Linked DNA regions of Sus scrofa. The protein of the gene in region 2 interacts with the protein of the main gene of each other region in a pairwise test. Links are inferred from orthologs where the notes say so. Each region holds a gene or a part of one and is shown on either strand. Other genes may lie near its edges.

The links.
Region 1: the proteins of KLHL41 (region 2) and RCHY1 interact in binary tests that used the Homo sapiens proteins (3 or more experiments, as listed by UniProt). The two-hybrid records come from large-scale screens. The link is inferred for Sus scrofa from reciprocal best matches to the Homo sapiens genes KLHL41 and RCHY1.
Region 3: the proteins of KLHL41 (region 2) and NRAP interact in binary tests that used the Homo sapiens proteins (3 or more experiments, as listed by UniProt). The link is inferred for Sus scrofa from reciprocal best matches to the Homo sapiens genes KLHL41 and NRAP.

Annotation. Positions count from the first base shown.
Region 1 is NC_010450.4:71,168,475-71,172,127, reverse strand, and holds part of RCHY1 (RING finger and CHY zinc finger domain-containing protein 1), read left to right. Parts: intron 1-1,702; coding exon 1,703-1,781; intron 1,782-3,200; coding exon 3,201-3,245; intron 3,246-3,354; coding exon 3,355-3,413; intron 3,414-3,501; coding exon 3,502-3,528; intron 3,529-3,653. UniProt on the Homo sapiens protein: E3 ubiquitin-protein ligase that mediates ubiquitination of target proteins, including p53/TP53, TP73, HDAC1 and CDKN1B. Mediates ubiquitination and degradation of p53/TP53; preferentially acts on tetrameric p53/TP53.
Region 2 is NC_010457.5:75,874,200-75,877,952, forward strand, and holds the start of KLHL41 (kelch-like protein 41), read left to right. Parts: upstream 1-1,494; 5' UTR 1,495-1,735; coding exon 1,736-2,845; intron 2,846-3,753. UniProt on the Homo sapiens protein: Involved in skeletal muscle development and differentiation. Regulates proliferation and differentiation of myoblasts and plays a role in myofibril assembly by promoting lateral fusion of adjacent thin fibrils into mature, wide myofibrils.
Region 3 is NC_010456.5:123,927,985-123,931,487, reverse strand, and holds the end of NRAP (nebulin-related-anchoring protein), read left to right. Parts: intron 1-790; coding exon 791-1,102; intron 1,103-1,861; coding exon 1,862-1,987; intron 1,988-2,042; exon of another isoform or gene 2,043-2,555; coding exon 2,556-2,660; 3' UTR 2,661-2,926; downstream 2,927-3,503. Other genes in the region: HABP2 (hyaluronan-binding protein 2), read right to left, coding at 3,230-3,394. UniProt on the Homo sapiens protein: May be involved in anchoring the terminal actin filaments in the myofibril to the membrane and in transmitting tension from the myofibrils to the extracellular matrix.

The DNA.
Region 1 (3,653 bases), on a different chromosome or scaffold from region 2:
CGGATCCTGTGTTGCTAGGGCTCTGGTGTAGGCCGGTGACTACAGCTCCGATTCGACCCCTAGCCTGGAAACCTCCATGTGCCGCGGGAGCGGACCTAGAAAAGGCAAAAAGACCAAAAAAAAAAAAAACAATGGCGTACCAGAAAAGTAATTATAACATATACAGGTGAAAAAGATTAATATTCAGAATACGTACAGAGCTCTTTTAAATTCGTTTCCTCAAAAAACTAAAAGTAGAACTGCCATATGATACCATACGCAATTCCACTCTTGGGAACATAATCTGAAAGAATTGAAAATACTGATTAGAAAAAGTACATGCATCCTAGTTCATAACAGTAGCCTAGATATGGAAGCACTCTTAAGTGTCGACCAATAGATGAATGGATAAGGAAGATATAGTATGTACACAACACACACACAGACACAAACACAGGCATACACATAAACACAATGGAATATTATCCAACCATAGAGAAGAATCAAATTCTGCCATTTGCAATGCTGTGGGTAGACCCGAATAGTATTATGCTTAGTGAAGAAGTCAGAGAAAGACAGATGCTGTATATTATCACTTATGTGTGGAATCTAAGAAATAAAACAAATGAATGTTTGTAACAAAACAGGAACAGATTCAGAGATATACAAAACAAAGTAGTGGATACCAGTGGGGGGTTGGGGAAGGGACAAGATATAGGAGTAAAGGATTAAGAGATACAAACTGATACATATAATAGGTAAGCAGCAAGGATATATTGTACAGCATAGGGAAATATAGACATTATTTTCTAGTAACTTTAAATGGAGTATAATCTATAAAAATATTGAATCACTATGCCATACACTTGAAACTAATATAATATTGTAAATCAACTATCAACTTCAGTTAAAAAAAAAAAGCTGATTAAAGGCAAATACCCAAGTGGAAAAATGAACCGAGCACATGAACAGACAATCCACAGGAGAAATCCAAATGGTTCATAAACATGAAAATACGCTTCCTGTCTCATCATTTGAGAAATGCAAATTAAAGTGCCATTTTTCATTTGTCATGTAAGTAACCAGTGTTGGCAGGAGTGTGGGGAACAGAGGTACCATCACACACTGTTCGTGGGAGTATAAATTGGTACCATCTTTGCAAGTCAGTTTGGCGGTATCAGAACTGCTGATGCAATGCCCTCTTACCCCATAGTTTCACTTTTAGGAATCTTATAAAAAATCACCATGTAGGTTGTGATGTCTATATATAGGTATTTATTATGTCATTGTATTAACTAAAGATAGTAAATCATGTCAATAAAAGTATTAAAATTTACAGTATGTTCCTATCATGTAATCCTGTGTAACTATGAAGAGGAATGAAGTGGTTCTATATATTCACACATAGAATACTCTTGAGGAAGTACTGTTAACTGAAAAAAAAGTTGCCAAGCAATATATATAGAATCCATCTATGTAAAAAATAAAACCCAAATTGTGTCTATGTGTATATTTGTAGAGAAAAAGACATGGAAGGGTAGATAATCATTCTCCTTAGAGTGTTTACATTTGGGGAGTGAGGTTGAGGAGGTAGGGATTTATTACTTCATCTTCAGTGTGGTTTGAACTTTATAGTGAAATTAAGCTTATATATAATGAACAAATGATTACTATAGTAAGAATGAATCTGAACTTTTGTTTTTCATATTTTTTTTTTTTTTAGGATTGGTCCAAAGGAAGATTTTTTCCACTGTTTGAAATGTAACTTATGCCTAGCAATGAATCTCCAAGGAAAGCACAAGGTATATAATTCAGTTCTCATGATTTAAAAACTATTACAGTGTTTTTGAAAATACCTTAAATCCTAATTTGTTTAGGAACATGCTGATTTTCAGATATTACCAAGTCGTTCATGTCGCTTTTTATTTTTAAGCAATACTAAGAAGTAGATGTTCTAAAGCTTACGTGTCAGAACATCTAATCTATAATTCCTTTTCTCTATATAAGAGTACTTACATTTTTATTAGTATAATGTAGACAAGTTCTAAATTGGCTCATGGATTCTTATTATTGGTACTGGTTTTAAGAATAGCTTTATAATGTATGATATAAAGTGTAACCTTTTGTTAGCATTCCTAGAAAATTTAGTATTTCTTTCATAATCTGAAATATTTTTTAATTTGGATGCAGCAATTATATCATGATTCTAGGCCTTTTAAACATTATTTTTCATTACTTAGAAAAAAATCTAATAACTCATTTACAGTGCTGATTCTGTCCAAGAATTTAGAGACTGAAGAGACTGATGAGGGGTTTTGAATACTATATAGTAGGTAATAACTGGCCTAAAATACTAGAGTGGTAAGAGAAATTGAGGTGAATAATAAACATATGGGATATGCTGACAAGGTGTAAGGGAGAAAGAATGAGGCTGAATAAAGACTCCCAAGGATTTTAACCCTGGCTTAAAGTACTTGATTAATAGATTGTGAATTTGTAGGAGATAAAAAATTAAGGTTAGTTTTACTGGCTTTAGTTTGGGGTGATGGCAAGATGTGCTCTGTTGTCTTTAGAAAAATTATATACCTATTTTCTCTTGTAGTTTTGTTTCTTAGTTATTTTGTATTGTCTGTGTTTGTAAATGGTCCTGTCAACTACTCAAGTGCTTACTTAAAAAAACCTGGGCATCATCTGTGGCTTGGTGCCTTCTCTTACCTCTTCACAGATGACACTATCTTGTCAAGTTAAGATCTCAGGCCCTGGAGGTCTCCTGTTGGAGCTCAAATATATTTCCATCTCTTGCTAGTATGTAATTTTGGAAGGTTATTTAGCGTTTCTAGGCCTCAAATACCTCATCTATAAAATGGAGTAATAATTGTACCTGTTTCATTTAGAGTTGTGGGGATTAATTGGGTTAATACAGGTAATGAACCTGGCATATGACATGTGTTAAAATTTCTGTAATGTGAACTGTTATTTTGTTATTTGTAAAATGAAGAGAATTTGAATAATTAAGACACATTAAGCAATTTCATTGTCTCAGGTAATGTACACAGCCTGAAATAGTTGTGAGAGTTAACTGTTCAGTTCTTGTCTGACATACAGGAAACGTGTATTAATGTTACTTATTACCTTTAGTAAGCTGGTATTGTTTCATTTGTTAGTTTTTTTATAATTAATACTATTAAGCTTTTGGTAATTTTAGTTTTGCTTTTAAACAGTGTATTGAAAATGTTTCCCGGCAGAATTGTCCAATATGTTTGGAGGTGAGTTTAAAATGTTTTTAGCTTTGGAACATTCTGTCTTGGATTGAAAGTACTGATTATTTATATTGTCTTCGTGTAAGTAAGCACTAGCATTTATTTCCTTTTACAGGACATTCATACATCCCGTATTGTTGCTCACGTCTTGCCATGTGGACATCTTTTACATAGGTAAGGTAACTGGTTTTTTTCCTCAAAACATTTGAAAATAGTGTAGGTACTTTTTGCTTTACTAAAATAATGTTGTGTTTTCTTTCAGAACATGTTATGAAGAAATGTTGAAAGAGTGAGTGTTTGATGGGATTTTAAAAAATTGTAATTGTAAGATGTCTGTTTTTTCTTTTTTTGAAAGGAGGGGGAACTGGGCAGACTTTGCAGTTACTTATATAGGGTATGGCAGAGACTTCCCTT
Region 2 (3,753 bases):
TGTCACATCATGGTGTTTGCATATGACTCGTTAATCTTTTCAAATGTTAGGTGTTACGTGTAAAGAGAAATGAGTCATTTATTGTTTTAACAAGGGAGCAGCTGTTAGTTTTTTTCTACTGTGTTAAAACCTTTAGTGGCATCTATATATGGAAACGAGTCAATGAGCTCTTCTCTCAGCTGTTGGTTTAGCAGCTGACAGTACCATTGACTTCACCGTGATGTAAAATAAGAGAAAAAACCTTTACTCTTGGATGGAGACCTTGAAGTTTAAAAATACATAATTCCCTGATTGGGAGTGGAATTCATTTGACAAATATTTATGGAGCACCCAAGAAGCCCTGTGGCTGTAGTGCTGAACAAAACAAAGGTCCCCCAAATCCCTGTCTTTATAGAGCTTATATTCTTTTGAGCATGTTTAACCTTTGAAACTACAGTGTTTCTACAGCCCCACTGCGTTATGACAGTATAATTTTGTGATAAAATAATTCATGAAGATGTATTGATTTTTTTCAAATAATGCCTTCTGCATCCCTTGGTTGATATGGTGTCCTATTCCAGTCAACAAATTACAGCTCTAGTTCTATATATATATTTTTTATTCATGTGTAAGTCCTCCTGTTTTTCAAGTTATATCGGTGAGGTAGCACTTTGTTCTGATTTTGCTATGTTCTGTTGATAGCATTGTTCTCATGGGGTTATATCTGTTCCGTTTTACTTTTTATTTAATTAAAGATCAACACTTAAAACCACAGTGATCATATTTTATGTGTGTATACCTTCAGTATAAAGGAACTTTTGTCAAATCATTAAGATTAGCCACAGGAGCTAATTTTTCTTTTTTCTTTCCCTAGTGTTAGCTTTTAACCTTTTTTTTTTTTTTTTTCTGGTCTTGATTCCTTTTAACTTTTGCCTTTAATTTGCTTGTTTTATTCTTATTATTATTTGCCACATCAAGTACTTTGTAGAGCAGGGCCAGGTGTGAACAAATTAGATAATTTTACAATTTAACTCAATACTAATTATAGTTTTTCCGCCTGAGAATAAAGATAATTTAGAATGTCTTAGAAAATTAGCAGTTTCCCTGCATTTATTTCAATCATGATGGGGAGTATTATTCTAAAGTTTAAAAAAAAAAACTGTAATTAGAGTAACTAAGTAGAAGTTTTATGTTTCCTACATCTAAAAGAAAATTACATATCCCACTGTTTTAGGTAGAAAATAAAAATTTGTGTGTAACAGTTATTGGAAAGTTATGAGTATCCAAATGAACTCACCTCATATTCTTGACCTTTGCATCATTAATTCAGATAGCCAAGTAGTTTGCCACTAGACCATTTTTAGCGGACTGACTCATTTTTATGATTCAGTTTTCTGTTAGTTCAATAAGCATTTTCTTGTGGTAGCCTTTAATAGCATACCTCCTAATACCTTATGTATTTTAAAGCTTTCCACCTCATTTAAATCTCTTGTTTCTTAGCTGTTTCCTTAGTGATTAAAAGTTCCAGTTGTGCCTTTCAATCTGTAACAGCTGCAAGAACAACTCTTCTTTCCAAACCAGCTCTCTCTCCTAAATTCCCGTTGTTAGAGTTGGTATCTATATTTAGCTGGTGGGATTAAATTGCAAAGGCTTCAAGCTGGGCAAAGCACACTGATCTGCCTTTTTACTGCTAGACCTGTGTGCTGTGAGGAGCTAAGGCCTTAGTGTCCCCTTCCTTACCCAGGTTACTCACAAAATGGATTCCCAGCGGGAACTCGCAGAGGAACTGCGGCTTTATCAATCCACCCTGCTTCAGGATGGTCTAAAAGATCTCCTGGATGAGAAAAAATTCATCGATTGCACCCTAAAAGCAGGTGACAAAAGTCTTCCTTGCCACAGATTGATTTTGTCAGCGTGTAGTCCTTACTTTCGTGAGTATTTTTTATCTGAAATTGATGAGGCGAAAAAGAAGGAGGTAGTTCTAGATAATGTGGATCCTGCTGTACTGGATTTAATCATTAAATACCTATACTCTGCCACTATTGATCTCAACGATGGAAATGTGCAAGATATCTTTGCCTTGGCCAGCCGCTTTCAGATCCCCTCGGTGTTCACCGTCTGTGTTTCTTATCTTCAGAAAAGACTTGCTCCTGGTAACTGTCTAGCTATCCTAAGATTAGGACTTCTTCTCGACTGCCCAAGACTTGCCATCTCCGCTCGTGAATTTGTGTCTGATCGCTTTGTACAGATTTGTAAGGAAGAGGACTTTATGCAGTTGTCTCCACAGGAGCTGATCTCAGTCATTTCCAATGACAGCCTAAATGTAGAAAAGGAAGAAGCAGTCTTTGAGGCAGTGATGAAATGGGTGCGAACAGACAAAGAAAACAGGGTTAAAAACCTTAGCGAAGTGTTTGATTGTATCCGTTTTCGCCTCATGACAGAAAAATATTTTAAAGATCATGTTGAGAAAGATGACATAATTAAAAGCAACCCAGAACTCCAGAAAAAAATCAAAGTTCTCAAAGATGCCTTCGCAGGCAAACTCCCAGAACCCAGCAAAAACACAGAGAAGGCTGGGGCTGGTGAGGTGAATGGTGATGTTGGTGATGAAGATTTACTTCCTGGTTACCTGAATGACATTCCCAGGCATGGAATGTTTGTCAAAGACCTCATCCTCTTGGTTAATGACACAGCTGCGGTGGCTTACGATCCCACGGAAAATGAATGCTACCTTACTGCCCTGGCTGAGCAGATCCCTAGAAATCATTCCAGCATCGTCACCCAACAAAATCAGGTATATGTGGTCGGAGGACTATATGTGGATGAAGAAAATAAAGATCAGCCTCTACAGTCATACTTCTTCCAGGTAAGAAAGGCTGTTTTCATGTAAGTAGAGACATGAGGAAAGACTGTTGCTCACCATCCAGTTAGTTGACTTGTGAATTACTCAGACTGCTTGGATTTTTATTCTATTTGACATCCTATCCCAGTCCCTTGCACTTTCCCTACTTAGAGGGCTGGAAAATATGTAGTCAGTTACTGCATGTTAATGTTTAATAAACGTTTAGGTAAAGAATGAGGTTCTAATTAATGTATAAGTGATGGCTCCCGATTTTCTTTGCAGTCTTTTACCCAAAATGTCATGTTTGTAGTTGATTGTGACTGTAATCCTTTAAAACCCAGTCTTTTAGTAAAAACAACATTTAATCATGTATCCTCTTTCTGAAAAATAGGTTACTGCATTTCCCCAACTCAAAGTACTTGACATATTACAGAAAGTTATAATTGATCTGATTTTCTATCTTTTGCCAAGTTTCCTTGAACTGATTTGAAGTTCTTGGAGGTAGCATTTCATCTCTTATACATGGTGATTGCCTAAAATATAATTCTGTTGAAAGTGAAAAGGACTTATATACATATTTTACACACTTTGGATTACCTTCTAGGAAATACAAGTGTCATTGATTTGAATTAATTAATCATATTTAGAAATTTTTATTTATGATAAATATGCAAATTTATTTAGATCAGAGTTATACTTGGACACTACTGCAACTTAGTCTGTTTTATGAGGCCATAGAAAGTTTCCAAAAAAATAAATCCTCCTCAACTAACAGATTCTTTGTTGTTTGTTTCAAAGGAGTACGTTTCATATCATCAGCGTATTATACTTTACCAGTTTATGAAGGAATCAGTGGCTTAACCTTCGTCTTTAATAATGCCAATAGCAGTACTTTGTAGCTGACAGATAGCTCAAACAAGTTTGTTTAGGTC
Region 3 (3,503 bases), on a different chromosome or scaffold from region 2:
GCCCAGAGCAGGTGGCCAAAACATAGCAGCCGTCATTCTCAAAGAGGAAGCCATGATTCACTAGATATATGCTCATTCCTGAACGGCTCGTTACTGGTCCAAAGTGAGAGAAGTACAGAAGTCAAGATCAAGCACTGAGAACCATTTTTAGCATTTGGACATGATGACATCCAAGCGTGTGACCAGTGGATTCCTCTGGCTGAGCAGAGTGGGGGCCAGTTTGAATGTTATCAAATGCACCTCACGCTACTTCATGCTAATCATGGGCAGGAGGCCCATGGATTGGACTTTGACGGATTGGAAACTTAGAAAAGCAAAACAAAATAAATCCCATCCTTCACTATAGATGGTTTGAGGAGCGCTAGACTGGGTCCCTGAAAGCTAGAAAGAATCAAAGACTGAGGGGCTGCTGAAGAAATAGTTGCACTTCTCTTGCGGTTGGATCATTAATTATTACAGCAGCAATGATCCCAGCAGCCCCCACTCAGTGGGCTCGAGCCTGAGCCAGGCATGAAGCTCAGCCCCCATCTCAGTGCATCCTCTCAATATCCTGTGGAGTAGAAGTTCATTCTCCCACTTTGTCAAGTGGGGCAGCCAAGGCTCAGAGTCTCAATAACTGACCCAAGGCCACACAGCTAGAAGGCAACAGAGGGAGATACAGATCTCGGGTCAACTTGACTCTGAAGCTGTGCTCTTCACCCACTGTTGCACTTCCTGCTAAGCATCCTGAGGGCTGACCCTGGAGGGGTGGGGCGCACCCGTGACCCCTGTCTGTTCCTCTGACCTACAGTTCCGGTACAAAGAGGCTTTCCTGCGGGATCGAGGCCTGCAGGTTGGGTACCGAAGTGTCGACGATGACCCCAGGATGAAGCACTTCCTCAGCGTCGGCAAACTGCAGAGCGACAACGAGTACAAGAAGGACTTCGCCAAGAGTCGGTCCCAGTTCCACAGCGGCCCGGACCAGCCTGGCTTCCTCCAGGCCAAGAGGAGCCAGCAGCTGGCCAGCGATGTGAGCTACCGGCAGCCTCTGCCCCAGCCCACTTGCGACCCAGAGCAGCTGGGCCTGAAGCACGCACGGAAGGCCCACCAGCTGCAGAGCGATGTGAGCCTCCCCCCGACCCCTGCCCAGGCCTCACCTCTGTGCTTCTTCACAAGAGATGGCCCTGGTCCCCCGTCCCCAAGGCTGAGAGAGAGCCCAGGAGACCTAAGGTGATAGCATCAGAAGACATGACAAGAACCTCAGTGTCTTGAGTCCTTCTTGTGCCACGTGCTTTCTGAGCTCTATGCCCTGTAGCTCTCACAGCCATCCCATTACTGCCCCCACTTGACAGATGGGGAGCCTGAGGCTTAGGGAAGTGAATAACTTACTCCAGACCACATGGCAAATAAGTGGCAAGCCTGGGATCTGAGCCCCCTTTGGTTTGATGTCAGAGCCCAAGTTCTTGGTCACTGTGCCACACTGTTCCCAAGGGATCTGAGTAGTGGCCCAGCCCAGCCCAGCCCACCCACTTCCTCTGGGAGGCAGCTGAAGCCCAGAGTAGAGAAGCGACTTCTCTAAGGCCACAGAGCAAGTCCAAGTAGGGGCTCAGCCTTGAACCAGATCTCTGATCTGCCACCCCCACTACAGCCCTCACCATGTAGGTGGAAAGATACAGGAGACGGCAACAGGCTGGCCCAGCTTACAGCACACTGGATCCTCAGTGCCAAGGGAACTCCTGCCAACAAGAGTTGGCCCCCCCTTATCCTGGCTTCACTGACTACAGCCCGTTCTCCAGGGTGCCCTTTTAAGCCTCTCCACTCTGTATCTAAACCACCCCAAACCCTGCTGACCTATTCCTCTTGCTTCCCTCCATCCCCCAAGGTCAAGTACAAATCAGATTTGAACCTGACCCGAGGTATTGGCTGGACACCTCCTGGCTCCTACAAAGTGGAGATGGCTCGGCGGGCTGCAGAACTGGCCAACGCCAGGGGTCTCCGGGGGGCTTACGTGAGTAGCGGGTGCAAACCCACCCCAGCTGGCAAGGCCTTGGGGGAAGGCAAACTCATTGTTTCTTTTCAAACTTTATTTTTGGCCAAAGGTCAGCTGGCTCTAAAGATGTGTGAAAGGCAGCTCAGGCAAGGCGCCTAATTTCCTGGGCCTGAGATGACCAGGCGGATGACACCCGGGTTAAACTTCCTGCAGGGTTTTTCTGAAGTCGCAGCCATTAGTTCTTCGGAGACAGACATGCTGGGGTGACATCAATCCGGGCCGAGGCAGCCCAGGCTGTGCTGACCGCCTGCTCGTTACATTCGCGGAAGGGGTCAGGGACTTGCTGGCTACAGCAGTCTGGGTTTTGAACCGTACTTTGTTCAGAAGAAAGACACCACGTCTAAACGAGAGATGGGCTTGTCTTCTTTCTCTTTCTTGCCTTGAGGAGCCTTTTTCTTGGGGAGGGTGGAGGAGGGCAAAAGGAAGGGGAAGGTGAACAGGTGAACATCCATCGGAGACAGCTTGTCCTGTAGGAGCAGGGCCGGAGCTTCGTCTTAACTCAGGAGGGTGTGTTTGGTTTCTGCAGGGGGGGCCGGAGGCTGTGGAGACTGGTGATAATCAGAGGGGGGACGTGAACCCAGATGCCACCGAGATTCTGCACGTCAAAAGGAGGAGGGCCTTGCCATTGTGAGTGGGCAGCATCCACCCAGGATTCTTGGGAGTGAAGCTGGAGAGGAAATTTGCACGCCAGAGGCATGACTTCAGTTGGGGCAACTGTGAAAAGGGCTCAGCGGCCCTTCCCCCCCAGCCCCCTTTATTAAAATAACATTTCGGAAAGCGGGTGGAGAAGTGTGTTTTGGTCCCTGTCGAATACCCACAAGTTGGATGCCGGCTCTGTTGCATGCGTGCTGAGTGTCTGGGATGAGGAATAAAGATGGAAAGGTGGCCGCCACCAACGCTGAGCCTCGGAAGTCTCGCATTTGCACATGTCCAAGGTGAAGGCAGTCTGTGAACACTGATTTTCTAGAAGGTACAGGTGTGCAAAGGGAAGCAAACATCCTATATTTCAGGTTGATTCATGTCTAGCTTTCCCAGCGGGAGCCTGAGGAAGTGGCGGACATGCTGGTCCCCTGCTGGCCACCAGTGGTCTCTGCTTAGAACGTAGTCACCCAGAGGCTCCACGGGGTGCCCGCCACTGCCCACGAGGCCTCACCTGATCTGAGTATTATCGAGGAGGGGCCGTGAGCTTCGGAAGACCCCCTAGAAGCTGGCCTCCCTTTCCATGGTGGCTCTGATCCAATTCAGGAATGTGGTCACTTGGGTGTACACCCCTGGCTTCTTCCCACACTCCAGGCCCCAGCTCACTATCCCATACACGTAGTAGGCATCATCCTTCTCACAGGTCAGGGGGCCTCCAGAGTCACCCTACGGGAACAAGACACAGGAGTCAGCTCTGCGAGCCAGCATGCATTATTCAGAGACACCTCCCACCTTCCGTGAGGGGGACCAGGGTGATGGGGTGAGGTCGCTGGCT